4 linked regions of the Anolis sagrei genome follow. The protein of the gene in region 3 purifies or fractionates together with the protein of the main gene of each other region. This does not show direct contact. Links are inferred from orthologs where the notes say so. Each region holds a gene or a part of one and is shown on either strand. Other genes may lie near its edges.

Evidence for each region.
Region 1: the proteins of RAD18 (region 3) and SLF2 purify together in Homo sapiens (affinity purification with mass spectrometry; 3 studies listed by BioGRID and IntAct, with this or other methods). This does not show direct contact. The link is inferred for Anolis sagrei from reciprocal best matches to the Homo sapiens genes RAD18 and SLF2.
Region 2: the proteins of RAD18 (region 3) and SLF1 purify together in Homo sapiens (affinity purification with mass spectrometry; 4 studies listed by BioGRID and IntAct, with this or other methods). This does not show direct contact. The link is inferred for Anolis sagrei from reciprocal best matches to the Homo sapiens genes RAD18 and SLF1.
Region 4: the proteins of RAD18 (region 3) and POLH purify together in Homo sapiens (affinity purification with western blotting; 7 studies listed by BioGRID, with this or other methods). This does not show direct contact. The link is inferred for Anolis sagrei from reciprocal best matches to the Homo sapiens genes RAD18 and POLH.

The regions. Positions count from the first base shown.
Region 1 is NC_090023.1:215,161,725-215,168,688, forward strand, and holds the start of SLF2 (SMC5-SMC6 complex localization factor protein 2), read left to right. Parts: upstream 1-3,955; 5' UTR 3,956-4,086; coding exon 4,087-4,208; intron 4,209-6,964. UniProt on the Homo sapiens protein: Plays a role in the DNA damage response (DDR) pathway by regulating postreplication repair of UV-damaged DNA and genomic stability maintenance.
Region 2 is NC_090022.1:253,906,443-253,914,295, reverse strand, and holds the start of SLF1 (SMC5-SMC6 complex localization factor protein 1), read left to right. Parts: upstream 1-4,843; 5' UTR 4,844-4,928; intron 4,929-7,853. UniProt on the Homo sapiens protein: Plays a role in the DNA damage response (DDR) pathway by regulating postreplication repair of UV-damaged DNA and genomic stability maintenance.
Region 3 is NC_090022.1:49,336,088-49,343,010, forward strand, and holds the start of RAD18 (E3 ubiquitin-protein ligase RAD18), read right to left. Parts: upstream 3,019-6,923; 5' UTR 2,947-3,018; coding exon 2,893-2,946; intron 1-2,892. UniProt on the Homo sapiens protein: E3 ubiquitin-protein ligase involved in postreplication repair of UV-damaged DNA. Postreplication repair functions in gap-filling of a daughter strand on replication of damaged DNA.
Region 4 is NC_090021.1:49,690,863-49,698,071, reverse strand, and holds the start of POLH (DNA polymerase eta), read left to right. Parts: upstream 1-4,199; 5' UTR 4,200-4,291; coding exon 4,292-4,428; intron 4,429-5,777; coding exon 5,778-5,912; intron 5,913-6,950; coding exon 6,951-7,168; intron 7,169-7,209. Other genes in the region: XPO5 (exportin-5), read right to left, coding at 840-944. UniProt on the Homo sapiens protein: DNA polymerase specifically involved in the DNA repair by translesion synthesis (TLS). Due to low processivity on both damaged and normal DNA, cooperates with the heterotetrameric (REV3L, REV7, POLD2 and POLD3) POLZ complex for complete bypass of DNA lesions.

The sequences.
Region 1 (6,964 bases), on a different chromosome or scaffold from region 3:
GTGGCCAGCATGACTGCGTGGAGCGCCGTTACCTTCCCGCTGGAGCAGTACCTATTGATCTACTCACATTTGCATGTTTTCAAACTGCTAGATTGGCAGAAGTTGGGGCTGAAAGCGGAAGCTCACGCCGCTCCCCGGATTCAAACCTACGACCTTTCAGTCAACAAGCTCAGCAGCTCAGTGGTTTAACCCACTGCACCACCGGGGCTCCAACACCTATTCCTTGCCAATTCTTATAGGTTCCTGTGTCCTATCCTAACTAATATTTGAAGGCAAACATTGTTATATTACCTTTTTCTAATATCAAAGTGCATAGGGATCAAGGACCTTATTTGAAAAATCCTGAAAATATGATTCTACTCTTAGAACAAAGTCACAAGGAGGTTGTGGATGGAAATTTAGATTATGAATCCTGATAATGTTGCGGCTGATAGGAGAGATAATACCAAGAGCGATCCTTTTGAGAGGCAGAAAAGTACGTTTTTATTTTCAGCTGAGACCCTGGTATGGAATCTCCTCCAAGAGCAAACCTGAGTGAGGATAAAGGCATTGACTTCCCTTTCATACATCTTCAAATGCAGGCAAACAAAGAAACGTGCTTCTACATATGTAACATCATCACTACATCACCTTAAGCATCATAGAAATATCAATTTATATCTTTTTACATGCATGGGGCATCTCAGTTTTTTCTATCTAAGGAGCAGCTTACAGCAAATTAGAGATACTAGGGTTCAGCTACAGATCCATCAAGGTGCCTTCTTTTGACCTTACAGGAGGGAGAGAAACAGCACCACTTCTTACTTTTTAGAAGTAAGAAGGTACAGCCAGTGCTAAGCTGTACCAGTTTCTGGAATGTATAGATAATGACCCCCCTTTTCCTCCCCTTTCAACACAGATCTACGTCAGCATTCTTTCTGTGCTGTCAGCTTGACTTCCTAATACAGAGAACTTGATTTTTCTACATTTCAGTGTTTCTAATGTACATAAAATATATGTATAAATATCTATATTTCCAATATCTCCACATCAGTGAGACTAATGAAACAGTTACAGACTAGGTAGCTAACCTCACAAAGCATGGATATATAACTGGGATTGGAAGAGGCCATATAAATGTAGAAACAGAGTTGGGAGAGACCACATGGGCCATCCAGTCCAATCCCCTGCCAAGCAGGAAAAGAACAATCAAAGCACACCTGACAGATGGCCATCCAGCCTCTTTTAAAAGCCTCCAAAGAAGGAGCCTCCACCACACTCCAAGGCAGGGATTTCACTGTTGAACAGCTCTTATAGTCAGGAAGTTCTTCCTAATGTTTCAGCTGAATATCCTTTCCTGTAATTTGCACCCATTGCTCCATTGAGTCAGTCTCCAGGGCAGCAGCAAACAAGCCTGCTCCCTCTTTCTTGTGACATCCATTCAGATATTTAAACATGGCTATCATGCCTCCTCTCGAACTTCTCTTCTGGATGCTAAACATGTCCAACTCTTTAAGCCGCTCCTTGTATGGATTCATGGTCTCCAGCTGACTGGCACAACCTAGGGATCACAATCAGATACAGTGAAGACATCTCCCTTGCACTTTGCTACTCTGCTGCTGAGTATGCATGCCCAGTGTGGAACACATCTCACCATAATAAAACAGTAAATGTGGCTCTTAATGAGACATGCTGCATTATCACAGGGTGTCTGTGCCCTACACCACTGGAGAAATTACAGTGTTTAGCTGGTATTGCACCACCTGACATCTGCTGGGAAGTAGCAACCAGTAGTGAAAGGACCAAAGCATTGATATCTCCGGCCCATCCCATTTGGATATCAGCCAGCACGCCAACGACTTAAATCAAGAAATAGTTTTCTAAGATCTACAGAGACACTCGCTGGAACACCTCAGCAAGCAAGAGTCCAAAAGTGGCAGGCACAAACCCAGAACCTCAATCAATGGCTGATACCAAATGAGAGACTCCCCCCTGGGCACACAAAAAACTGGGCAACTTGGAAGGCGCTCTGGCACCACGAGATGCAGAGCCAACCTTAAGAAATGGGGCCATAAAGTGGAGTCCACGACATGCGAGTGTGGAGAAGAGCAAACCACAGACCACCTACTACAATGTAACCTGAGCCCTGCCACATGCACAATGGAGGACCTTCTTGCAGCAACACCAGAGGCACTCCAAGTGGCCAGCTACTGGTCAAAGGACATTTAATAGAATGCCAAGTTTGCAAACTTTGTGGTTTTTTGAAAAAATACAACTGTTTGGTTCGCTCCTGAGACACGATAAATAAACAACAGGAGTTGAGGTTTTTTTACAATGTCTGTAGCCTTCCCTGCCAGAGAATGTTGTGTCTTGTTGTTGTTCATTCGTTCAGTGGTTTCTGACTCCTCGTGACTTCATGGGCCAGTCCACGCCAGAGCTTCCTGTCGGTCGTCACCACCCCCAGCTCCTTCAAGGTCAAGCTAGTCACTTCAAGGACACCATCCATCCATCTTGCCCTTGGTCGGCCCCTCTTCCTTTTTCCTTCCATTTTCCCCAGCATCAGTCTTCTCTAAGCTTTCCTTTCTTCTCATGATGTGGCCAAAGTACTTCATCTTGGCCTCTACTATTCTTCCCTCCAATGAGCAGTCAGGCTTTATTTCCTGAAGTAAGGACTGGTTGGATCTTCTTGCTGTCCAAGGCACTCTCAGAACTTTTCTCCAACACCACAGTTCAATTCTCAGGATTCCACCTCATTTTTATTTGTCGTGTCAGGACAACCAGTCAAATTATATTACATTTCTAACAGAACAAAGCAAACAAACAGACAAAATACAAAATGTGTGAGTTTGGTAGTTGATTAAATGTCCTTTGACCAGTAGCTGGCCACTTGGAGTGCTTCTGGTGTTGCTGCAAGAAGGTCCTCCATTGTGCATGTGGCAGGGCTCAGGTTGCATTGCAGCAGGTGGTCAGTGGTTTGCTCCTCTCCACACTCGCATGTCAAGGATTCCACTTTGTAGCCCCATTTCTGAAGGTTGGCTCTGCATCTCCTGGTGCCAGAGTGCAGCCTGTTTGGTGCCTTCCAAGTCGCCCAGTCTTCTGTGTGCCCAGGGGGGAGTCTCTCATTTGGTATCAGCCATTGGTTGAGGTCCTGGGTTTGAGCCTGCCATTTTTGGACTCTTGCTTGCTGAGGTGTTCCAGCGAGTGTCTCTGTAGATCTTAGAAAACTATTTCTAGATTTAAGTCATTGAGGTGCTGGCTGATACCCAAACAGGGAATGAGCTGGAGATGTCTCTGCCTTGGTCCTTTCACTATTGGCTGCCACTTCCCGGCGCATGTCAGGTGGTGCGATACCAGCTAGACTGTGTAATTTCTCCAGTGGTGTAGGGCGCAGACACCCCGTGATAATGTGGCATGTCTCATTAAGAGCCACATCCACTGTTTTAGTGTGGTGAGATGTGTCTGGGCATGCATACTCAGCAGCATGCATACTGAGTTGGAACACCTCACTTGCTGAGGTGTTCCAGCGAGTGTCTCTGTAGATCTTAGAAAATCTAGATTTAAGTGGTTGACGTGCTGGCTGATACCCAAACAGGGGATGAGCTGGAGATGTCTCTGCCTTGGTCCTTTCATTGAGCCTTGGCAGTTAAAGTGGCGTCAAACTGCATTAACACTCCAAGTCAGATGTGCCTGCTTCAGCCGTTATTCCAACAGCTTTTAAAAGGCTCATCCTCCGCGCGCTTTCCAGCCAGCCAATCAGAAGCGACGCGAGCCGAAGGCGCCAAGGAGCGGCCTTTTGAAGCCAATTCCCTTTCCTCCCTCTTCTGAGGGAAAAACAGGACGGCTTGAGGTCACAAGACAGGAGGCTCTGAACCGCCTCTGCGCCAACAACCAATAGGAACAGCGCTTCTGTTTCTACTCCCGCCTCAAGTGGTGACATCAGCCTATAGAAAAGAAGCCCTCCCCTGAGCGCAACCAATAGCGGCCCTTCTTCCTTCCGAAGCCCTTTGCTCCGCTCCTTTGCGCGATGGAGTGCGGAAGGCGCGGGGGTTTCGTTTCCTCTCAGCCGGAACCCTGAGGTTTCCTCAAAAGGCGGCGACGTCGGGGGCTATGACGCAGAATCTTAGCAACGGCGCCGGCGAGGGGGGAAAGGGCAGCGACCCTGACCGCTCTCCCCTGAGCACCGCCGGGCGCCATTGCCGAACGGCGGGCCGAGAAGGCAAGGCTGGCAGGTAAACACAAGAGGTGTGGTTTCCCATGCAACGCCCTTGTTTGCACAATCTAGGCAGCCTTTCCTCACTTTTGTACCACTTTGAACTGCCAGGGAAGCTTGCTAGGCGATCCTAGGGCCTGTAGTTTGGGGATCAGCTTTCTCTGGCAGAGAAGGCTGAAGAGCATCCGAAACTACAACTCCCATTATTCCATAGCATTAAGCCATGGCAGTAAAAGTGGTGTCAAAGTGTATTCTAAATTACAAACCTCAGCTGTTGATGCAGCCACGCAAAGCAAAGGTTAGTCTTCTCTGCCAGGAAGCTCTGCTGTAATTCCATGGTTCAAAGTCGTGCCAAATCACAGTAGACTCTCAGTTAACTGGAACTCTCAAGCAACAGGAAACCTCTACGTCCCACCTTGGAGTCTAAGATCTTCTGGGGAGGCGCTGCTCTCGACCCCGCCTCTATCACAAGTGAGGTTGGCAGGGACAAGGAGCAGGGGCTTCTCGGTGGTGGCCCCCCGCCTGTGGAATTCACTCCCCGGGGAAATTAGATCAGCGACATGCCTCCTGTCCTTTAGGAAAAAATTGAAAACATGGATTTGGGACCAGGCATTAGGACAATCTGGCAGATAAAGAAAGGACTTTGACGATGGACAGGAATTGACTAATGGAATGGAATTATGGAACTCTGAAAGACGAACGCTGAGCATGAGATTAGTTTTATTGATGTGTTATATACCGACTGTTTTAACTGTGATAATTGTTTTAACTATGGTTTTGTACATTATGTGTATTTTGTGTAGGCATCGAATTGTGCCTTTTTGTAAGCCGCCCTGAGTCCCCCCTCGGGGGTTGAGAAGGGTGGGGTAGAAGTACTTTAAATAAATAAATAAATAAATATGGCTTGTTGTAGGTTTTTTCGGGCTATACGGCCATGTTCTAGAGGCATTCTCTTCTGACGTTTCACCTGCATCCTCAGAGGTAGTGAGGTACCTCTGAGGATGCTTGCCATAAATGCAGGCAAAACGTCAGAAGAGAATGCCTCTAGAACATGGCCATACCTCTGAGGATGCTTGCCATAGATGCAGGCGAAACGTCAGGAGAGAATGCCTCTAGAACATGGCCATATAGCCCGAAAAAACCTACAACAACCCAGTGATTCCAGCCATGAAAGCTTTCGACAATAACAGGAAACTATCTTTATCCAGCATCTACCTATTGTTGAGAGCCCCCGGTGGCGCAGCAGATTAAACTGCTTTTTGTGTGTGTGCCAGGAGCGATCCGAGAAACCGCACGTAGCTTCTGGTGTGAGAGAATTGGCCGTCTGCAAGGATGTTGCATAGGAGACTCCAAGATGTTTTACCATCCTTGTGGGAGGCTTCTCTCATGTCCCAACATGGGGAGCTGGAGTTGACAGAGGGAGCTCATCCGCGTTCTCCCAGGATTTGAACCTGTGGCCTGTCGGTCTTCAGTCCTGCTGACACAAGGGTTTAACTCACTGTGCCACCACTGAGCTGCTGAACTTGCTGACCGAAAGTTTGGCGGTTCGAATCCAGGGAGTGGAGTGAGCTCCTGTTGCTAGCCCCAGCTTCTGCCAACCTACCAGTTCGAAAACATGTAAGTGCTCCATGCAGTCATGCCGGCCACATGACCTTGACGCGTCTATTGACAATGCTGGCTCTTTGGCTTAAAAACTGAGATGAGCACCACCCTCCAGAATCAGACACGACTGGACTTAATGCCAGGGGAAAACTTTACATTTTCACCAATTGTTATTAACTTTTTATATCATGGTTTCCCTGAAAATAAGACACTGTCTTGTATTTATTTTTCCTCAAGACACACTATGGCTCATTTTCAGGGTATGTCTTATTTTTTATTAAATACTAGCCATCCCCTGCCACGCATTGCTGTGGCCCTGTCTGTTGATCTGGAAAATAAAGTAATGAGAAAGTGTTGGTTTCTAATATATGTAATTTCTTTATGCTTGTGGGTAAACAGTATTTCTTGCTGTTTCTTTGTCAGTGTTGATGTGGAGAGTGTCTGGTTTGCCCACCCTGGAACATGCAACATATCATTGTCCTTCTTCAGGAGTCTCTTTCAAATCTCTGATACTATATCTGTGTGTGTGTGAATCATATCTATCTACCTATCTATGGCTGGATGGCTCTTCGTCAGGAGGACTTTGATTACGTTTTCTTGCCCTGATGAAGGGAGTTGGATTGGATGGCCTTAAGTATTTTCTGTTGGTCATGAGGGTTCTGTGTGAGAAGTTTGCCCCGATTCTGTCGTTTGTGGGGTTCAGCATGCTCTTTGATTGTAGGTGAACTGTGAATCCCAGTGACTACAACTCCCAAATGTCAAGGTCTATTTCCCCCAAACTCCATCTGTGTTCATATTTGGACGTATCGAGTGCTTGTGCCAAGTTTGGTCCAGATCCATTATTGTTTGAGTCCACGGTGCTCTCTGGATGTAGGTGAACTACAAGTCCCAAACTCAAGGTCAATGCCCACCAAAACCTTCCAGTATTTTCTGTTGGTCATGGGAGTTCTGTGTGCCAAGTTTGGTTCAATTCCATCGTTGATGGAGTTCAGAATGCTCTTTGATTGTAGGTGAACTATAAATCCCAGCAACTACAACTCCCAAATGACAAAATCATAATTTTTTGAGTGATGGTCACTCTTTGTGTTGTGACACATTTTGTTGTCAAATTTGGTGTGATTTCATTCATTGGTTCTTTTGTTTTTATGGTAGTCATTATGCACAGAGCATTTT
Region 2 (7,853 bases), about 200 Mb from region 3:
TTAGAGATTATTGTTTCTCCCAGGAAGTATGTTATCTAAGGCACACAGCCCACCAGGAACAGAAGTTTTAAGATATGATTTCAGCTAGTGATGTCAAGAAGCTTCCACACATTAACTTTCGTAAATTTTCTCTTGTTCCATCACCTGAATTTCTCTCACACATCTCTATTTAAAACAACAACAACATGCATTGTGATTAAGAATGCTTTTTTTGAGCACCTGGTTTTTTGTTTGCATCCTTCTCTGACTATGGAAATTCTGAAACAAACGTTTTAGGCTGACTTCTACTGTGGCCTGTGGACAGCTATAGCAGCCCACCACCATCCCTCTTTTTCTTATGAACACAAAGCAAAGAAACACTTGTTTCTCATAAGAGAATTTCATACTACTCCTTCATACACATACCAAATGCAAAATTCAATAGGTGTGGAGAGGCCACTGTATATGGCCACTGTCTAAAACTTTCGGAATTTGTTTAGAACTCCTGAAATTAACTTTCCTATTCTATAGGTCTAGTTCTGTATGAATTCTGCAATGAAGCATGACTCTGAAGAACTAAAATGAACTTTATCATAGGATGAAAGTTTAACTATTTTTACAAAAAGACATTATACATAGATCATAGAAAGTTTATTTTTTAAATGAAATCAGTGAATTGTTATGTTAATAATTTTATTTCTCAAGTTATGTTGATTGATGATTTACTGTGTTTGAATAGGCAAAGAGCATTTGCTCCACAGCCTCCAAAAATTCTTCCACAAACTGTTGGGTGTCATCTTTGATATTTATCACCATGTAAGCACTTTTGTTTATCCATTCAGTCACTTCCGACTCTTTGTGACCTCATGGACCAGTCCACACCAGAGCTCCCTGTCGGCCATCACCATCCTCAGCTCCTTCACAGTCAAGCCACTTCAAGGATACCATCCATCCATTTTGCCATTCGCCGGCCCCTCTTTCATTTTCCTTCCATTTTCCCCAGCATCATTGTCTTCTCCTGTTTTCTTATGATGTGGCCAAAGTACTTCAACTTTGGCTCCAACCCTAAGAACTGCAGTGCTACTTTCCATCCCCAAAATAGAGAACATGTATCATCATGTGTGCACAATCATGTTTTTTTTACTGCATCACATCCACAATCACAAGTCAGAACTGTTCTGTCAAACCAAGCCAATAATAAGTGCAGTAAATATAGTAGCAAGACCATCATCATTTGGAGCATTAGATTCTTCTAAAAGGATCCCTGTGAGCAGTCCAAGAAGCAGTCACCTGGCTAAAGTGTTAAACAGTTGAGCATTCCCTATCTGGAATCCCAAACTCAGTAGACTCTCTGTTAATTAACGGAAGCAACTAGAACTCCCAAATAGCAAAAGTTTGACTGCCATTTAATTAAAATTGCATACTGCATTCACAAAGCTGTTTTTATAATTAAGTAAAAGTGTGTTACCTTAAAATAAGTTTGCCTTTGTCTTACCTTGTTTCTAATTACTGTATTTCAATATTAATATCATGTCAACACTGAGTTTATAGTGTCGTATAATATTGTATATAGTATCAGGCCTATTTTAATAGTAACTCTCAAGCAACCAGAAACCATATTTATTCAGTGCTACCAATCTTCATAGGTGTCAATTAATTGAGTCCAATATTCAAAATTCCCCACATGGATAGCTGACATAGTGACACATTTGCTTTCTGATTATTCAACATAAACACACCTCATTTCATGCACAGTATTACTAAAAATGTAGTATAAAATTGCAGTGGGTCCTTCATATCCACTGGAGTGGATATGCACCTTGCCCCCACCCCCCAAACCCATGTATGCTCAAGTCCCATTAAACACATTCATGTAATGAAATGCTTTCCTGTATATAATATGGTAAAATCAAGGTTTGCTTTACAAAAACAAAAACAAAAAAAGGGGGGGGGCTGCTTTCAAGTCATGGATGACTGAATCTGTGGATACAGAGAGATGACTGTACCTTACACGATGTGTGCATGAAGCACACATTAATTTTGTGTTTTAGACTTAAATCCTATCTACAAAACAACTTATTATTATGTAAAAATATGGAAGTATAAGTATTCCAATGAGGGGATCCAAAATATCCAAGCATTTCTGATAAGGGATACTTGACTTGTACAAGATCTATAATTAGCACTTTTGCTACTAGTAGAGCAGTACCACTGAGAAGTCACAGCTTTGTGTCCCCTTTATGGCTCTCAGCACAAGTCTATACTTAGACATAATCTCCTTTAAACTCAATGGGATTTACTCAGGAATTGAAAATACACAATGCAACAACTGAGTGGCCACAATAACTTCAGCTGACTTCCAAAGAGAGTAGCAGTGAATGCCCAGGAAATTTGAAAAAGTACGCCAGTTATAATAATGATAATAATAACCTTTATTTATATGTTGCTTTTCTCCCACAATGAAGACCCAATGTTGTTTCCAACATTTTAAAATACAATACAAAATCAACCACTCTCAACATATAAACATTGTAAACAATCACATAGTACATAAACAAACCTTTAAAACAATATACATTGTTTTGTCCTGTTATATCTTATTGCATTAGTTCCCCTTATGTTACCTATTAGGGCAGTGGCTCCCAACCTTGTTTTGCCCCTGTCCCACCTAAGCATCTAAATTCCTGATTCCCCCCCCCCCCCCCCCCCGCCCTCGACATATAGTTCTGATTATTAAAAAAGTGAAATCCTATTTAGGTGGAGGAAACTTTAAAGGCCTTTTTATGAGTGATGGTCACTTGTTGGCCTGATAGGTGTGTTGTATCCACATTTGGTGTCAATCTGTCCAATGGTTTTTGAGTTATGTTAATCCCACAAACGGACATTACATTTTTATTTATATAGATTTACAGTATTTATATAACACTTTTCTCACCCCTGGGGGGACTCAAAGCAGTTTACAAAAAATAATGGCAAAATTCAATGCCTTACATACATAAACCAAATCATAAATCGAACAGCATATGCCTAAGCATAAAATGCAATACAACAAATTTGCCGTAAGATAATAGGACATTCAAGCACAAAGTATAAAAATTGAAAACACCTAATAAAAACATTAAAATCACATGATCCAAACTCGTAGACCAGGTCATTCCAGATTATTTAATGTATTTATATGCATTGTTTTATGATTTTTTTATTATTTTAATGCACAATGTATTTGTATGTTTTATGTTGTAATGCGGCACTGAATATTGCCAATTTGGAAGCTGCTCTGAAGCCCCTTCCACAGAACTGAATAAAACTCAACATTATCTGCTTTGAACTGGGATATAGGACAGTGTGGACTAAGATAACTCAGTTCAAAGCAGATATTCTAGGTTATATGGCTGTGTGGAAGGGTTCTGAGTCTCCTCTGGGGTTGAGATAGAGCAGGGATAAAAATGTAGTAAATAAATAAAGTCTTGAGTTTTCTCTGCCACACCATGCCACACCAAACTACAACTCCCATTGTATTGACCCATGGCAGTTAAAAGTGGTGTCAAACAGCATTCATTCTCAAGCAGGAATGGGCAGATTGTGAAATTGTGTGAGTTGAAATCCAAAACATCTAGAGGGTGAAAGTTTGCCCATGCTTGGTGTAAATGCTTCACGACAGAATAATAATAATAATAATAATAATAATAATAATAATAGCGACCATTAGAACAAATGCCATCAAAGCCAGGATTGAAAAGTCTATGACAGATCCCAAATGTAGACTCTGCAAGGAAGCAGATGAAACAGTAGATCACATCCTCAGCTGCTGCAAGAAGATTGTGCAGACCGACTACAAGCAGAGGCACAACACCGTTGCTCAGATGATTCATTGCAACCTGTGCCACAAACACCATCTGCCTGCGACAAAAAACTGGTGGGATCACAAGCCAGAAAAAGTTACAGAGAATGAACACATCAAACTCCTCTGGGACTTTCATATTCAGACAGAGTTTTGGAGCACACTACTCCTGACCTCAAAATCCTGTTAAAAAACAAAGTATGAATCGTTGATGTCGCAATCCCAGGCGACAGCAGGATTGAAGAGAAACAACTGGAAAAGCTGACATGATATGTGGACTCATCTTATTGTGTTTCTAATAATAATAATAATAATAATAATAATAATAATGGTATAATAATAATAATAATACATCACACAGTCCGAGACACTTGGGAGGTGTCCGACATGTGATCCAATACAACAGCCAGCAGAGTGATCTTGTTTGCTGTGGACTCATCTTATTGTGTTTCTAATAATAATAATAATAGTAATAATAATAACAACAATAATAATGAAGGAATAATAATAATAATAATAATAATAATAATAATACATCACACAGTCCTAGCCGCTTGGGAAGTATTTGACTTGTGATTTTGTGACACGAAATCCAGCATATAGATCTCGTTTGCTGTGACATACTGTTATTTTTGTGTCAGTAAAATAATAATGATAATAATAATAATAATAGTAAGCCCCCGTAGAGAAGCTCCAGCGCTGGAGAATCAACACCCACTCGAGGCCAGGGATTCCTGGGAGTTGCAGTTGTGTGAGGCGGCAAGACTTTGGGGCAGAGAAGGCGGGAGGCCTTGTCAAACTACAACTCCCGTGACTGTACAGCCTGGAGCCATGGCGGTGGAAGCTGAGGTCTCCCCTTGGCGTCCCCCGTTCCTCCTCCCTCGGGTGCCACTTACCCACTAGGCCGCGCCCGCTCCCTTCTCACTCGGGCGCCACGGAGACCGGCCGGCGTCGCTGACAACGGGCCGGAAGTCCTGGGCTCCACTTCCGGGGGCGGGGCTTCATCTCCCCGAGCCCGCCAACCAGGAGGACGCGGAAGCGGGAAAGGGAGAGAGAGGAAGAGAGAGAGAGGGAGAGAAGAGCCGGGCGAGGTGGTCCTCCTAAGAAGGTAAAAGGCGCGGAGCTGGGCATGTGCGTTTTGCTGGCTTTCGGGTTGCGCTTGGGAGAGGGCCTCTTGGCCTGGCTTAGGGCTACGCTACAGCAGGGATGCAGCATGGCACTCCTTTCATTGATATGGAGCAAAAGGAAAGGGCTTGTGGCTGTTCGGAATGGTGGCAGATGAAGTCCAAAACACCCGGAGAGAGGGCCCAAGTTGGCCCATGCCTGGTGTAGACGAAGAGTACAATAGCGTCCCTTATATATACAGAACCTGGCTTCCATATTATTCTGTAGTACAGCCAGGCCTGTAGCGAGGGGGGGATGGGGGGGGGGTTAGGGGTTCAACCCCCCCCCTCCCGAAATGTTTCAGATTTTTTTTTTTTTTAAAAACCCAGTTTACTCATGAATTTTAACTGGTTAACCAAATCCGCATGCTAAGTCTATGAGATGCAAAAAAATTAAGAGTCCCTCCAGAACTGCAAACACTATCTCAAGCCAATATTTATTTATTATTTACCTTATTTATTTATTTACCTTACTTATATACTGCTGTTCTCAGCCCGAAGGCAACTCACAGCGGTTCACAACAAATACGAACAGCAAAAATTCAGTGCTACAGTATAGAAACAGTTAACAACCTAACACATTACACAATTAATAAACAGTTACTACAATACCCATTCACTGTCGTCTCGTCATCAAAAACATGTTCCAGATTCGTCATCCATTGTTCCATTCCAATGTTCATTAACCAATCATTGCACTAATTATTGGAACGCCTGCTCAAACAGCCAGGTCTTCACTTTTTTGCGGAATACCATTAGAGATGGTGCTAGTCTAATGTCCGTAGGAAGGGCGTTCCACAGCCGATGAGCCACCACCAAGAAGGCCCTATCTCTCGTCCCCGCCAGCCGAGCTTGAGAAGCAGGCGGGATCAAGAGCAGGGTCTCCCTGGAAGATCTCAAAGTCCTGGTGGGTTCATAGGCAGAGATGCGGTCGGATAGGTAGCTTGGGCCCGAACCATTTAGGGCTTTAAAGGCCAACGCCAGCACTTTGAATTCAGCCCAGTAGCAGATCGGTAGCCAGTGGAGTTGGCACAACAGGGGGGTTGTATGTTCCCTGCGCTCCGCTCCTGTTAAAATCATGGCTGCCGAGCGTTGGACTAGTTGGAGCTTCCGAGCTGTCTTCAAAGGCAACCCCACGTAGAGAGCGTTGCAGTAGTCTAAACGGGATGTAACCAGAGCGTGGACTACTGTGGCCAAGTTATTCTAACTTATATGCCGCCACTCCCCTGGGGTTCGGAGCGGCTTACAAGAACAGGCTAAAATCAAACACAATTGAAAAACAATTTAAAACAATTTAAAAACAGCAATATCAGAGATCAAAGTCCCGTCGAAACAGATATGTCTTACATGCCCTGCGGAAAGCTGATAAGTCCCGCAAGGCACGGACTTCAGGTGGCAGAGTATTCCAGAGTGATGGTGCCACTGCTGTAAAGGCTCTGCGTCTGGTTGCTGTTAGACACAAGGTCTTGACACTGGGAATTTCCAATAGATCATGGTCCTCAGAACGGACGGATCTCTGGGGTTGGTAGGGGGTGAGGCGGTCCCTCAGGTACATCGGCCCCAGACCATGCAAGGCCTTAAATATTGACAATTTATTCACACTGTCATTACTTGCAGGAATAGCCGATGTAGTGAAGCAACCAAGTTGGTTGTGTGTGTGTTGAATGCTCTCATTAAGGAGGCCAGACTTGGTGGAGATGGTTGACAGGGGCGGAGCTGCAGGCTATTGAAGGCTGCTCTGCCCCTGTTGTGCTCTTTGCTTCAGCGTGAGCTAGAAGGCAGGTTTCAACACATACACCCCCCGCAAAATTTTCAACTTCCCTCCCCCAAAAATTTCAACCCATCCCGAATTTTTTTTCTGGCTACGGCCCTGAGTACAGCGGAAGGAATAGGTTTGTATTCACAAAAGATCGTGCTAAAATAAAATCAAGTTAGATTTAAGGGTGCTGCCACATTTCCTGTTCTCCCTCCTTCTTGTATTATGCTCCACATAAACATTAAAAAAACCAAGATTATGGCAACAAGAATGATTGACAACTGGAAAATAGAGGGAGAAAATGTGGAGGCCATGACAGACTTTGTATTTCTAGGTGCAAAGATTACTGCAGACGCAGACTGCGGCCAGGAAATCAGGAAACGCTTACTTCTTGGGAGGAGAGCAATGTCCAGTCTCGATAAAATAGTAAAGAGTAGAGACATCAGACTGGCAACAAAGATCCGCCTAGTCAAAGCCATGGTATTCCCTGTAGTAACCTACGGATGTGAGAGCTGAACCTTAGGAAAGGCTGAGCGAAGGAAGATCGATGCTTTTGAGCTGTGGTGTTGGAGGAAAGTTTAGAGAGTGCCTTGGACTGCGAGAAGATCCAACCAGTCCATCCTCCAGGAAATAAAGCCAGGCTGCTCATTGGAGGGAAGGATACTAGAGACAAAGTTGAAGTACTTTGGCCACATCATGAGGAGACAGCAAAGCCTAAGAAGACAATTATGCTGGGGAAAGTGGAAGGCAAAAGGAAGAGGGGCCGACCAAGGACAAGATGGATGGATGGCATCCTTGAAGTGACTGGACTGACCTTGAAGGAGCAGGGGGTGGTGACGGCCGACAGGGAGCTCTGGCGTGGGCTGGTCCATGAGGTTACGAAGAGTCAGAGAGGACTGAACGAATGAACAACAAACAGAGTTGGAAGAGACCTCATGGGTAGGGCCATAGCCAGAAAAAAAAAATCGGGGAGGGTTGAAACTTTTTTTTAGCAAATCATGAAGAGTAGTTCGATAACACAACAACATTTTTAATACAGTCCAAAGATCCTTATTGCTCCGTAAAAGGTAGAAGATACAAGGTATGCAAGGTTAGTAAGGCCAAAAATAGCCAA
Region 3 (6,923 bases):
AAGGAGCTGGGGATGGCCACAGCCGACAGGGAGCTCTGGCGTGGGCTGGTCCATGAGGTCACGAAGAGTTGAAAGCGACTGAACGAATGAACAACAGCAGTTCAGTGCAGTTAAACTACATTATATGACTGTACACTGACCATATAATGCAGATTCAAACTGCATTATATGGCAGTGTAGATCCAGCACCATCCATTCATTACTTTATTCATTCATTTATCTGTTTGTATGTATATATGAGTCTCCTTGTGGAGAGAGAGAAAAATGGAGTATAAATAAACATTATAAAGAAGAATAACATGTATCTATATATCTGTATCTACAATAAAAGGGAAAATATGCTTGGATGGGTGGCTCTATCTATTTATTTATTTATTTATCTATCTATGATTGTGAGCAATTTCCAAGATGGCTCCCACTTCCAGAGAGCATTGTAGCCCCCACCAATGATGGATCTGAACCAAACCAGACACAAAGACCCTCCCAATAACCAACTTTAAATACTTATGGTGTTTGGGAGGAATTGATCTCTGATGTTGAGAGTTGTAGTTCACCAACAATCAACAGCACTCTTAACCCAACTGAAGATGGATCATGGCCAACTCTGAATACTAGCAGGGTTTGGGGGGAATTGACCCATGAAGTTGGGAGTTACAGTTCACCCAAATCCAGAGAGCACTGTGAAACCAACCGATGATGGATCTCAATCAAACACGGCACACATATGAAGTATTACCAACTTGGAATACTGGCAAAGTTTGGAGGGGAATTGACCCTGGAAGCCAAGAGCTATAGCTCACCAACATCCAGAGAACACTATGAACCCAACAGACTATGGATTTGGACCAAACTTGGCACGTAAACCCAACATGGCCAGCTTTGAATATTGGCAGAGTTTGGCGGGAATTTACCTTGAACTTTGGGAGTTACAGGTATAGAAACCCACATCCTTATGCAGTTTCTAATCAGAGCATTCATTTAAAAAGCAAACAATGACTATTTCTTATAAATAGCATTAAAAAGACCTAACCCGGACATCACTAGTATATTTATATAGTATATTTATATATGTATCTCCCAGGCCAAGCCCCAAAGTGCTTTACAAATACGTATGTAATACATCTCTATAAATAAAAATGTAATATTCGTTTGTGGGATTAACATAACTAAAAAATCACTGGACGAACTAACACAAAATTCGGACACAATACACGTATCAGGCCAACAAGTGACCGTCACTCATAAAAACACTGAAAAACACAGCAAGAGACTTAAAAAACCAAAAAATAAAAAAATACATTACAATGCATGTGGAAAACCACATATATAAACACACACACACAAAAATACGCATAGACACAAATATATACACACACAAAGCACATATACACAGACTGGGCCAGAGCAACGCGTGGCACGGGATGGCTAGTATTTATATAAATGAGAATCAGCCTGGTGTAGTGGTTTGAGTGTTGGACTATGACTCTGGAGACCAGGGTTCAAATCTCCTCTCCGTCTGGGTGAACCAAAGTCAAGTCACACACCCTTTGCGTCAGAAAACCCTGTGGTAAGTTCACCTTAGAGTTTCCATAAGCAGTGCTTCTCAAACTTATCCAAAGCAACCCTGTGAGTTTCCATTGCTAGTTCCCAGAGTTGTAATGCAATGCTCACAGATCTATACTATGTCTGGGCAAACTTGGGCCCTCCAGGTGTTTTGGACTTCAATTCCTAACAGTCATTTGTGGGGATCGTAGTGGTTTGTTGAAGCTGAATAGGGTGAAGGTACTGCAAATCCCATCATACGTGGACCGTCCTCCCTCATACTTCCCCAGGGTCATGGGCCTTCTGTGTGCCAAGTTTGGTCCAGGTCTGTCATTTGTGAGGGTCGCAGTGGCCCATAGAAGTGAGTGAAGGTACTGCAAGTCCCATCATCCGTGGTTCAAACCGCACCAAGATGTGCAGTGGGTCATGGGGGCTCTGTGTGCCAAGTAGGGTCCTGATCCGACATTGGTAGGGTTCATAGTGGTCTGTTGGGAATTGAGGGAGTCAAAGTCCAAAACACCTGGAGGAACCAAGTTTGCCCAGGCATGATCTGACCCCAAACATGAGCAATGACTACAGCGGAGAGAGGAAAGCATTCTGCACATGTTCTGAAGCCTCCTTTTGCACTGAAACACAGTAGGAGCTGTTCAGCTGTGGGATATGGCGCTCAGAATGAGGTGGAGATTCTTAAGCAGAGGCTGGATGGACATCTGCCGGGGGTGCTTAAGGATTCAATGCAGCGGGCAGCATGTAAAATCAAGACAAACAAAAAATATGAAGCATTCTCTCCTGACATTTTGCCCACATCTATGGCAGGCATCTTCAGAGGTTGTGAGGTGTGTTGAAAACTAGGCAAGTGAAGTTTAGTGTCTAGGGTGGGAAAAATAACTCTTGTCTGTTTGAGGCAAGTATGAATGTTGAAATTGGCCACCTTGATTACCATTTAATGGCCTTGCAGCTTCAAAGCCTGGCTGATTGCTGCCTGGGGGAATCCTTTATTGGGAGTTGTTAGCTGGATCCCTTCCCCAGGCAGTAACCAGCCAGACTTTGAAGCTGCAGAGTCATTCAGTGCTAATCAAGGTGGTCAATTTTAATATTCACACTTGCCCGAAACAGACAAGAGTTATGTTTCCCACCCTAGACACTCCACGGATATATAAACCTCACTTGCCTAGTTTGCAACAGACCCAGTAACCTCTGAGGATGCCTGCCATCGATGTGGGTGAAACGTCAGGAGAGAATGCTTCTGGAACCTGGGGTCTCTATGTAGTGCTGCGATCAGCTCTGTCCATTGTACAAGGGGCGCCCCCAGTCCCGCAGCCACCTCCCTCCGTGCTCCCACTTACTTACTTTCAGTGGGCCAAGGCTCTGGGGCCAGGCCGACCCTGCTGGGAAGGAAGACATGGCCCAACCGCCCTCTCCCCGCCCACCGGGCTCCAAATCGCCCGCGCTCAGAGGCTTCCCCGCGGGAGGGAGGACACGTGGCTCCAGGCAGACGCCACTTCCCGCCCCGCCGCAGAGGCTGCTGGGTAATGTAGTTCCTTGGAATCAAAGCGAGAGTGGAAGGAGGGACTCTGGAATCCTGGGAGGTATAGTTTTGCAAGGTCTTGAACTTTCCTTGGCAAAAGGTGCTGGTGCCCAATTACAACTCTCTTGATTCAATAACATTGAGCAGGGCAGTTATAGAGTCATAGCAAAGAGTTGGAAGAGACCTCCTGGGCCATCCAGTCCAACCAAGAAGCAGGAATGTTGCATTCAAATCACCCCTGACAGATGGCCATCCAGCCTCTGTTTAAAAGCTTCCAAAGAAGCTTCCGGGGCAGAGAGTTTCACTGCTGAACGGCTCTCACAGTCAGGAAGTTCTTCCTCGTGTTCAGATGGAATCTCCTCTCTTGTAGTTTGAAGCCACTGATCCATTGCGTCCTAGTCTCCAAGGAAGCAGAAAACAAGTTCGCTCCCTCCTCCCTGTGGCTTCCTCTCACATATTTATACATGGCTATCATATCCCCTCTCAGCCTCCTCTTCTTCAGGCTAAACATGCCCAGCTCCTTAAGCCACTCCTCATAGGGCTTGTTCTCCAGACTCTTGATCATTTTAGTCGCCCTCCTCTGGACACACTCCAGCTTGTCAATATCCCTCTTGAATTGTGGTGCCCAGAATTGGACACAATATTCCAGGAGTGGTCTAACCAAAGCAGAATAGAGGGGCAGCATTACTTCCCTAGATCTAGACACTATGCTCCTATTAATGCAGGCCAAAATCCCATTGGCTTTTTTTGCCGCCACATCACATTGTTGGCTCATGTTTAACTTGTTGTCCACGAGGAGGACTCCAAGATCTTTTTCACACGTACTGCTCTCGAGCCAGGCATCGTCCCCCATTTTGTATCTTTGCATTTCGTTTTTCCTGCCAAAGTGGAGTATCTTGCATTTAAGTGGTGTCAAACTGCATTGATTCTATAGTATAGGTACCTCCCTAAATTTCAGATCCTGAAAGACTTATCTGTTTATTTGTATGAATATATAACAACAACAACAAAACTTTATTTATATACCTTTCTGTCTCCCCGAGGGGACTCAGAGCGGTTTCCAAGTAACATCATCAAAACATACAAAGTAAACAACATAAACATAAAATTAACAAGACAATCTTCTATCTATATAAATAAAAAATGTAATGTTCGTTTGTGGGATTAAAAGAACTCAAAAACCACTGGATGACCTGACACCAAATTTGGACACAAGATACCTAACAACCCAATGCATGTCCTTCACTCAAAAAAATTGATTTTGTCATTTGGGAGTTGTAGTTGCTGGGATTTATAGTTCATCTACAATCAAAGAGCATTCTGAACCCCACCAACGATGGAATTGAACCAAACTTGGCGCACAGTTCTCCCATGATCAACAGAAAATACTGGAAGGGTTTGCTGGACAAGTGCCCTTTGGTTTTGGAGTTGTAGTTCACCTACATCCAGAGATCACTGTGAACTCAAACAATGATGGATCTGGACCAAACTCTACACGAATACTCAATATGCCCAAATGTGAACACTGGTGGAGTTTGGGGAAAATAGAATCTTGATATTTGGGAGTTGTAGTTCCTGGGATTTATAATTCACTAACAATCAAAGAGCAATCCCAACAGCTGGTAAACTGGGATTTCTCGGGAGTTATAGGCCAAAACACCTGGGGACCCACAGGTTGAGAACCACTGTCCTAGACAAAGGGGTCCATCAGGATTTCATTTAATCATGCACAATATCAACTGATCCAGAGATGTATATGTGTGCAGCAACTAACTATCCAAAAGAGAAACATTATTGCAGCCTCTTCTATTAAATGTATGAGGGTTGAATGAAAAGTAATGCCTCCACCTTCATCACTTGGGTTTGGATAGGAATATTTTAATCCTTAGAATGTGCTCTTTAACTACCACTATTAACTTTTCCACATAATAACCAGACAATTGGATACATTTCTGCCAACAATAAACAAGTTTTCTGAAGCTGTCACAGAAGAAGTCAACGCTCTGTTTCCGCAACCAGCATCTCACAGTTCTCTCAATGTCTTCATCAGAAGCATGTCATGCTACACCATGGGCATGACAAAGCACCCAGGTATTATGGACATACACACCCAGCAGATAAGCTTCCTGTGCACAGTCTGGGAACTAGCCGTTGATGTAAACCAGCCATGCCCTTGGATATTTCTTTATTTGGCCAGCTTGTGAACAGAATTGAGAGATCATCACCCATTGTCCCTGGTATCCTACACTCTGCATTTATATAATCCTGTTGTCTTCATGCCCGTACATCCATTGTCTTTGGAACAACCACCTAAGTCCTCTAAATATCAACCTTGCTTCCTGGACATTTCCCTCTGCCCAGGGAAGAAACTTTCCCTCTCCTTCAAAGATGGAGGGGGCATCCTTTAAGGGGGCATCCATTTTGTGCCTAGCATGGCAGGCAGCCATCTTAGGGTCCGGTATATCTGTGTAATTTAATACTTTATATATATATATATATATATATAGAGAGAGAGAGAGAGAGAGAGAGAGAGAAAGAGTTATGTATAGATAGGTGATAAAGATTCTACACTATATGTATAAAGATATAGATATAGATATAGATATATATATATATATATATACATGGATATATATATAGACGGGACGTGATATGGCAAAGGGTAATGTCAATTATGCTAAGGTTTAGCAAGATATTACTATCAATATTAATAATAATAACGCAGGACAATGTGGGTACATTGATAGGTGCTACTTATGGGAATGGTAAAACATGCAGTTATAAGTAGATCAATATGTATGGTGGTTTATATACATACATAGTAGATAAATGTGTAGCGAAATGACAGGGTGATGTGGGTAGATCGATAGATACTGTGTTACATACATGGGATGAAATGACAGGCAGATGTGGTTAGATCAATAATAGTGCTGTAGTGACAGGCCAATGTGAAGGGAGCAATAATTGCTGGTGCGGTGTGGTTGACCATTTACACCTTTCAATATTGGTCTGGGTTCTTGCTTATTTCGATTACAAGGAGACTAATTGTGGTGGAGATATATATATATATATATATATATATATATATATATATATATATATATAAAAGCGGGTTGAATAAGCGGGCTTATTCCAGAGTCAGTAAAGTGATTTATCGCAAAAACACTGATGTTGTCTGACATTTGCATTACTGAGCAGCAATTACGGATCCTCTTCGGGTCATCTAAAACAGATCTGGGAGCACGGGGCTAAGTATTTTCCTTGGTACCGCTTGTGATGGTGATATTTGCCCCTTTTAGGGTCATTATTATTCAGTTTATTGCAGTCCTAGGCAGCTCGCTAGGATGCCTGTTTATTCATCGGGGCAGTTGCCCACTGACAATATTATAAAGTTTGGTCAAAACTCTAAAAATCCTTAAATTGTTGGGGCTGGGACACCTTTATTGTGCAACTTTTTCCTTTCATATGCGAGCTACCTTCATGGCTGCCTACATGAGTTTGGATCAGGACAGGATCAAAAGCCCGGGGAGATGGAGGTCGGGTGCCTACAAAGGGTACGTCCGCCCTGTTGCCTTATTATAACAGTGTTTTGTCTTTTCAGATGGAGGTTTGCTGGTCCATAGAAGAAGGGTGTTGATTTGTGGCCACAGCTTTATCTATTGGACCGAGCGGCAGCATCAGGGCATGGCTGCCTTTGCTTTTGTTGAATGGAGTGGCAAAAGAGGCCTCAGGTGGGATGGTTTGATCCCTTTGTTGTCCGGGCTGGAGGCGGTCCTGCACCTGATGTGCTGTTAACTCACCTTGGGGGCAATGATCTTGGCCTTCTCAAGGGCAGAGCTTTGTATTTACAGGC
Region 4 (7,209 bases), on a different chromosome or scaffold from region 3:
GTACTCTGGCACCACGAGATGCTGGGGATAGAAAGTGGAGTCCTCGACATGCGAGTGTGGAGAAGAATAAAACCACAGGCCACTTACTACCACTTACTACCATGCAGCCTGAGCCCTGCCACATGCACAGTGGAGTACCTTCTCACAGCAACACCAGAGGCACTCCAAGTGGCCAGATACTGGCCAAAGGAAATTTAGTATAATTCCAAGTTTTAATCTTTGTGGCTTTAAATACATTATACCTGCATTCTCAATTTGCTTCTCACACAACAAATATATATAAATATGCTACTTCAAAGCATTATTTCTAAAAATCACAAATAATAATAATAATAATAATAATACTTTATTTATACCCCGCCACCATCTCCCCAAGGGACTCGGAGCAGCTTACATGAGGCCAAGCCCAACAACACATCAATAAAACAAAAAGCAATAAACAAAAACAAAAAATACAATACAATTAATATAAATCATATATAAACATTGACCAGACTTGTATCCAAGTCTGGAGACAAAATAGAAGCCATAATAAAAGTGGAAGCTGGTAAAAGAAACTGCTGACGAATTTCGGTGCCAAACTGCATTCATCCCACAGTGCAGACGGGCCCCGGGTCCCTTCAAAGCAAGAGGGGCGCCTTCTCCCTTGCAGAAGCCCTCAAACAAGCTTGCAGCAAACTCAACCAGGCGGACACGTGAAGGTGGCGTGGGGACGGACGGGGCGACCCGACACTTGGAGGCCTGCGGGGCGGGCTCGAACTCGCGCCGGGGATACGGGAACTATTTGGGCCTGGAGGCAGCTGCGAGGAGATCTGCTGCATCTCGATGGCCTTCCCTACCTTGAGGGCCTCCAGGCGGTACCGCTGCGTGGAGGCCGGGTCCATCATCACCGTGACCGCCTTCACCAGCTGCTCGCAGAGGGTGTTCACGGGGTCCCAAGACATGGCGGCGAGGAGAGGGGCTCTATCCGGGGGGAGGCAAGAAGAAGGAGAAAGTAGGCCCCGTTGCCCCGGGCAACCAGGCACAGGGGGGGAGAACCCGAGAGCCACACCGCGCCGGGTACACAAGCCCAAAGGCAGCACTGCGCAGGCGCCAGCAGCCAAACTGTCTCCACTGAGCCTGCGCAAAGCACCGTCCACAACTTGGACGGCTCTGAGTTAGAAACGTAGAATTAGCCCAGTAGAATGCCTCACTCCGTTGATGACACGGAGCTTCCGGGTCCTGTCTACATTATTTTGGACTGGAGGCGGCCTTTGGAATGCGGTCAGAAATTTGGAGCAAAGAGCTGCAGTTACAAGTTGCGACCACCAGAGAGAGGTCGTGGCAATAGCTCCACGGGGTTTCAAGGCCAAAGTCAAAGCGTGGATACCACTATTCCACTATACAACTACATCTAATAATAATACAATATAATAATTATATATTTTACTAGCGGTCCCCTGCCACGCGTTGCTGTGGCCCAGTCTGTTGATCTGGAAAATAAAGTAACGAGAAAGTGTTGGTTTATAATATATGTAATGTCGTTCTGCTTGTGGGTAAACAGTATTTCTTCCTGTTTCTTTGTCAGTGTTGATGTGGAGATTGTCTGGTTTGCCAACTCTGGAATATGCAACATATCATTGTCCTTCTTTAGGGGTCCCTTTCAAATCTATGATACTGCATCTGTCATATACATATGTGTGTGTGTGTGGGAATGGCTGGATGGCCCTTTGTCAGGAGAGCTATGATTATGTTTTCTTGCCCTGGTGAAGGGAGTTGGAATGGATGGCCTTAAGGCAGCATTTCTCAACCTGGGAAATCAAGACCCCGGAGGGGGGTCACCAAGGGGGTGTCATAAAGGTCACCAAAGACCACCAGAAAACAGTATTTTCTGTTGGTCATGAGGATTCTGTGTGGGAAGTTTGCCCCAATTCTGTCGTTGGTGGGGTTCAGAATGCTCCTTGATTGTAGGGGAACTATAAATCCCAGTAACTACAACTCCCAAATGTCAAGGTCTATTTCCCCCAAACTCTATCTGTGTTTATATTTGGGCGTCTTCAGTATTCGTGCCAAGTTTGGTCCAGATCCATCATTGTTTGAGTCCACAGTGCTCTCAAGATGTAGGTGACCTCCAACTCCAAAACCCAAGGCCAATGCCCACCAACCCTTCTAGTGTTTTCTGTTGGTCAGGGGAGTCCTGTGTGCCAAGTTTGGTTCAATTCCATCGTTGGTGGAGTTCAGAATGCTCTTTGATTATAGGTGAACTATAAATCCCAGCAACTACAACTCCCAAATGACAAAATTATAATTTTTGAGTGATGGTCACTCCTTGTGTTGTGAGACATTTTGTTGCCAAATTTGGTGTGATTTCGTTCATTGGTTCTTTTATTTTTAAGGTACTCATTATGCACAGAGCATTTATATATATATAGATATTACATATAATATTACTAATAATATTATTATAGTACAGTGGTATAATACAATATAGTAATATATAATACTAATATTGTGCTGTGCTAATAATATCATATATGAACCTATGAACCATCATGGAGATTAAGATCCTCCAGGGAGGCCCTGCTTTCCGTCCCGCCATTGTCACAGGCACGATTGGTGGGGACGAGAGACAGGGTCTTTTCGGTGATTGCTCCCCGGCTATGGAACTCCCTTCACGCTTGCCTCTCGGTACCTATATCAGATAGGCACAAAATGATCCTTTAATATTCCCATTGCATATTCTCTTACAATTGGATTATTAAGCATTGTATTGTATTGTATGTGAATTTGTGTCCTAGCATTGAATATTTGCTGTGTATATGTCGTGCTCTGCCCTGAGTCCCCTTTGGCGTGAGAAGGGCGGAATATAAATGTTTTTAATAAATAATAAATAAATATTTTATACTCATATAATATTGATAGTATAATGTAATACAATATAATACTATTAATAATACAATTTAATAATTTTATATTCCATATTACATGTAATGTTACTAATATTACAGTATAGTGGTATAGTGTAATATAGTAATATATAATACTAATATTGTGTGATGCTAATAATATATTGTATGTACATATATTAATCCCTAAACAGCTCCGGCCCTATTTATCTGTCCGAATGGCTTCTCCCCTATGAACCATCAAGGTTGTTAAGATCTTCTGGAGGGGCCCTGCTCTCGGTCCCACCTCCTTCGCAATCATGTTTGGTGGGAACGAGGGACAGGGCCTTTTCGGTGGTGGCCCCTCGGCTCTGGAACTCCCTCCCGATGGAGATTAAATCTGCCTTTTCCCTCCTGACTTTTAGAAAGCTGGTAAAAACATGGCTTTGGGATAATGCATTTGCAGAATGATGACTGAGTCAATAACTGCTGACCTTTCTGGTGGATGGCGATGAATTTGTGATTCACTGTGACGAACTAACTTTTTTGTAACTTGTACGAATTGTATGAATTGTATTTTAATGTATTTTATATTGATGATGTATACTGTTTTTTCTTATTGTATTGAATCTTATGTTGTTAGCCGGCCTGAGTCCCTCCTCGGAGGTTGAGAAGACCGGGTTATAAAAACTCTAAATAAATAAATAAAATAACTTGTAAGCCACCCTGAGTCCCCTTCGGGTGAAAAGGGCGGCATAGAAATGTTGTAAATAAATAAATAATAAATAAACCTACACTGTGGAATTAATAGAGTTTGATATGACTTGAACTCCGACATCTTCCACACAGCTGTATAAAATCCACATTGAATTGGATTATATTGCAGTGTGGACTCAGATAATCCAGTCCAAACCAATATTGTGGATTATCTGCCGTGATATTTTGGGCTATATGGCTGTGTGCAAAGACCTTCCCATGGTCCAATCCTTTGGAATCCAGATCTCTCTTGGGAAACTATAGCTCCCACGAGTCTAAAGCATTAAGCCCCGGGAGTTAAAGACTGCATTGCTTCTTCGTTGTAGAATCAGCAAGAATCGCTTGTCTTCTTCCCACTTTCCTATGTTTATGTTGTATGTAGACAGTTTGGCGAAGAATATCTGCGTCACGAAAGAAACCAATATGACGTCATCACAGTTCCTCGACTACAGCGTGGTGGAACCCTGACATGTCCCTTCAAGACTCCATTTCCCAGCAGGCATTGCAGCGACGCCTTGATCCGTTTCTCTCCTTGCGTTCCAAGAGCGTGCGGAGCCACGCTGCAACCTGCGCGTTGCGTCACTTCCTTTTCTTCCCTCCCTTCCGCCTCTGAGGAGAAAGAAGGCGGGAATTCCACTCACTGAAGGAACTTTCTGAATCTTTTCCTGAGGATGTCTCGCGGGCGGGAGCGGGTGGTGGCGCTGGCCGACATGGATTGCTTCTACATCCAAGTGGAGCAGCGCCTGCAGCCCAGTCTGCGCGGGAAGCCCTGCGTCGTGGCCCAGTACAAGACCTGGAAGGGCGGCGGGTACGTGCCTCGGCTCCCTTGGGCAATGGGAGCAGGCATGGGCCGACTTGGGCCCTCCCTCCAGGTGTTTTGGACTTCAACTCCCACAATTCCTAACAGCCTACCGGCTGTTAGGAATTGTGGAAGTTGAAGTCCAAAACACCTGGAGGGAGGGCCCAAGTCGGCCCATGCCTAATTTAAAGCTCCTAGGTAGGAGCTGTTTGGCAGTGGAATATGCTGCCTCTGAGTTTGGTGGAGTGTCCTCTGGAGGTTTATAAGCAGAGATTGAATGGCCATCTGTCAAGACTGCTTTGAACGTATTTTCATCAAAAACTCATAAGAATCCATAGCAGATACACCCTTAGTCTCTGGAGCAGTGGAAACCAATCTCCAATAGGGTATCCTTTTCACATATTTAAACACGACTATCATAGAATCCAAGGGCAAGATGGATGGATGGCATCCTTGAAGTGACTGGACTGACCTTGAAGGAGCTGGGGGTGGTGACGGCCGACAGGGAGCTCTGGTGTGGGCTGGTCCATGAGGTCACGAAGCGTCGGAGACGACTGAACGAATGAACAACAACATCATAGAATCCTAGAGTTGGAAGAGACTTCATGGGCCATCCAGTCCAACCCCCTGCCAAGAAGCAGGAAAATTACATCCGAAGCACCCCTGACAGATGGCCATCCAGCCTCAGTTTAAAAGCTCCCAAAACAAGAGCCTCCACCACACTTCACGGCAGGGAGTTCCACAGTTGGACAACTCTCACAGGAAGTTATTCCTCATGTTAAGGTAGTTTCTTGTAGTTTGAAGCCATTGTTCCACGTCCTAGTTTGCTCCCTTCTCCCTATGACTTCCCTTATATATTTATACATGGCCGTCATGTCTCCTCTCAGCCTTCTCTTCTTCAGGCTAAACATACCCAGCTCTTTAAGCCACTCCTCATAGGGCTTGTTCTCCAGACCCCTGATCATTTTAGTCGTCGTCCTCTGAACACATTCCAGCTTGTCAACATTTCTTGTCAACGTACTGCTCTCAAGCCACGCGTCCCCCATTCTGTATCATTGCATTTCATTTTTTCTTCCTAAGTGGAGTATCTTGTATCTTGTTGAGCTTCATTTTGTTAGTTTTGGCCCATCTCTCTAATCTGTTAAGATCGTTTTGAATTCTGCTCCTGTATTCTGGAGTAACCTTCATTTATCCAGGCTTCACTTCCCCCAGAAGCTCCTCATGGGGCATTTGTTTGACAGTACTCAGCCCTTAGGCTGACAGTCTAATACTGATACACAAGGAAAGGGGGTGGCAGTGTGGGAGGGCATAAAACCCAGTAGTTGCTGCATCCCCTTTTCTTTCTGTGTCAAATTCAGAATAATTGCTGTGAGCTATGAAGCACGTGCTTTTGGAGTTACCAGGAACATGTGGGCTGTTGATGCCAAGAAGCTGTGCCCAGATCTCCTGGTGGCTCGAGTGCCAGAGGCCCATGGTAAAGCAGACCTCACCAGGTAAGTCTAGTTGTTATAGCTTCTCTTGGATGGTATTAACTTAGGTAGCAGCCTGTAATGAAAGGACCAAGGCAATGACATCTCTGGCCCATTCTCTGTTCGGATATCAGCCAGCATGCCAAGCCTTAAATCAAGAAATAGCTTCCTAAGATTTATAGAGGTACTTGCAGTAACACCTCAGCAAGCAAGAGTACAAAAGTCACAGGTAAAAACCCAGAACCTCAATCAGTGGCTGACCAAATGAGAAACTTCCTCCTGTGCAGACAGAAGATTGGGCGACTTGGAAGACACTGAACAGACTTGCGCTCTGGCACCATGAGATGCAAAGCCAGTCTTAAGAAATGGGGCTACTAAGTGGAGTGCATTGCCATGCGAGCGTGGAGAAGAGCAAACACAGGCCACTTACTACAATTCAGTCAGTCTGAGCCTGCTACATGCACAGTGGAGGACCTTCTTAAAGTGACACCTGAGTCACTGGAAGTGCCCAGCTTCTGGTCAAAGGAAATTTAGTATAATGCTAAGTTTTTAACTTTGTGGGTTTTTTTATACATTATAACTATATTCTCAGTTCATTTCTGACACGATAAATATAAATAAATCTGATGTGGATTGTGAAATAATCTGGAGTAAAAACTAGTTTGAGAAGGAAGTTGATCAATGCTGCTCTTTCGTGCTCTGAGTATGAGGTGGTTTTTACGAAGCATGTTTAGCTGTTATTCATAACTAGGATATAATGCATGTTGTCTGGCTTTAACTGAGCAATATCCTAGGATTCAAAAATTTATCTCCCAGTGTGTTCTTTTAAATAGTGTATTGGACTTATTCTAGTTTATTCAATCCTTATTCATTATCTTAGTATACTTGGCAGTTGATGAGGGGAAAGTGCTGTCGTTTTGGAGAGTATTGAAGCTCTAACACACACACACACACACACATATATATCTCATTTTCTAGTGGTTGACTGCTTAATAATAATCCAATTGTAAGAGAATGTGCAACAGGAATATTAAAGGATCATTTTGTGCCTATCTGATATAGGTACCGAGAGGCAAGCGTGGAAGTGATGGAAGTCATGTCTCGCTTTGCTGTGATTGAGCGAGCCAGCATTGATGAGGCCTATATGGACTTAACTAGTGCTGTACATGAAAGGCTTCAAAAGATGAAGGGACAATCTATTGAAGCAGAACAATTGGCCACTACCTATGTTGAAGGATTCCCAGACAACTTTGCATTAGAAGAGACTGCAGATAATAAAGGTATTCCATAGCTTCAGACGTGGTATTCCATTGCTCTGCTT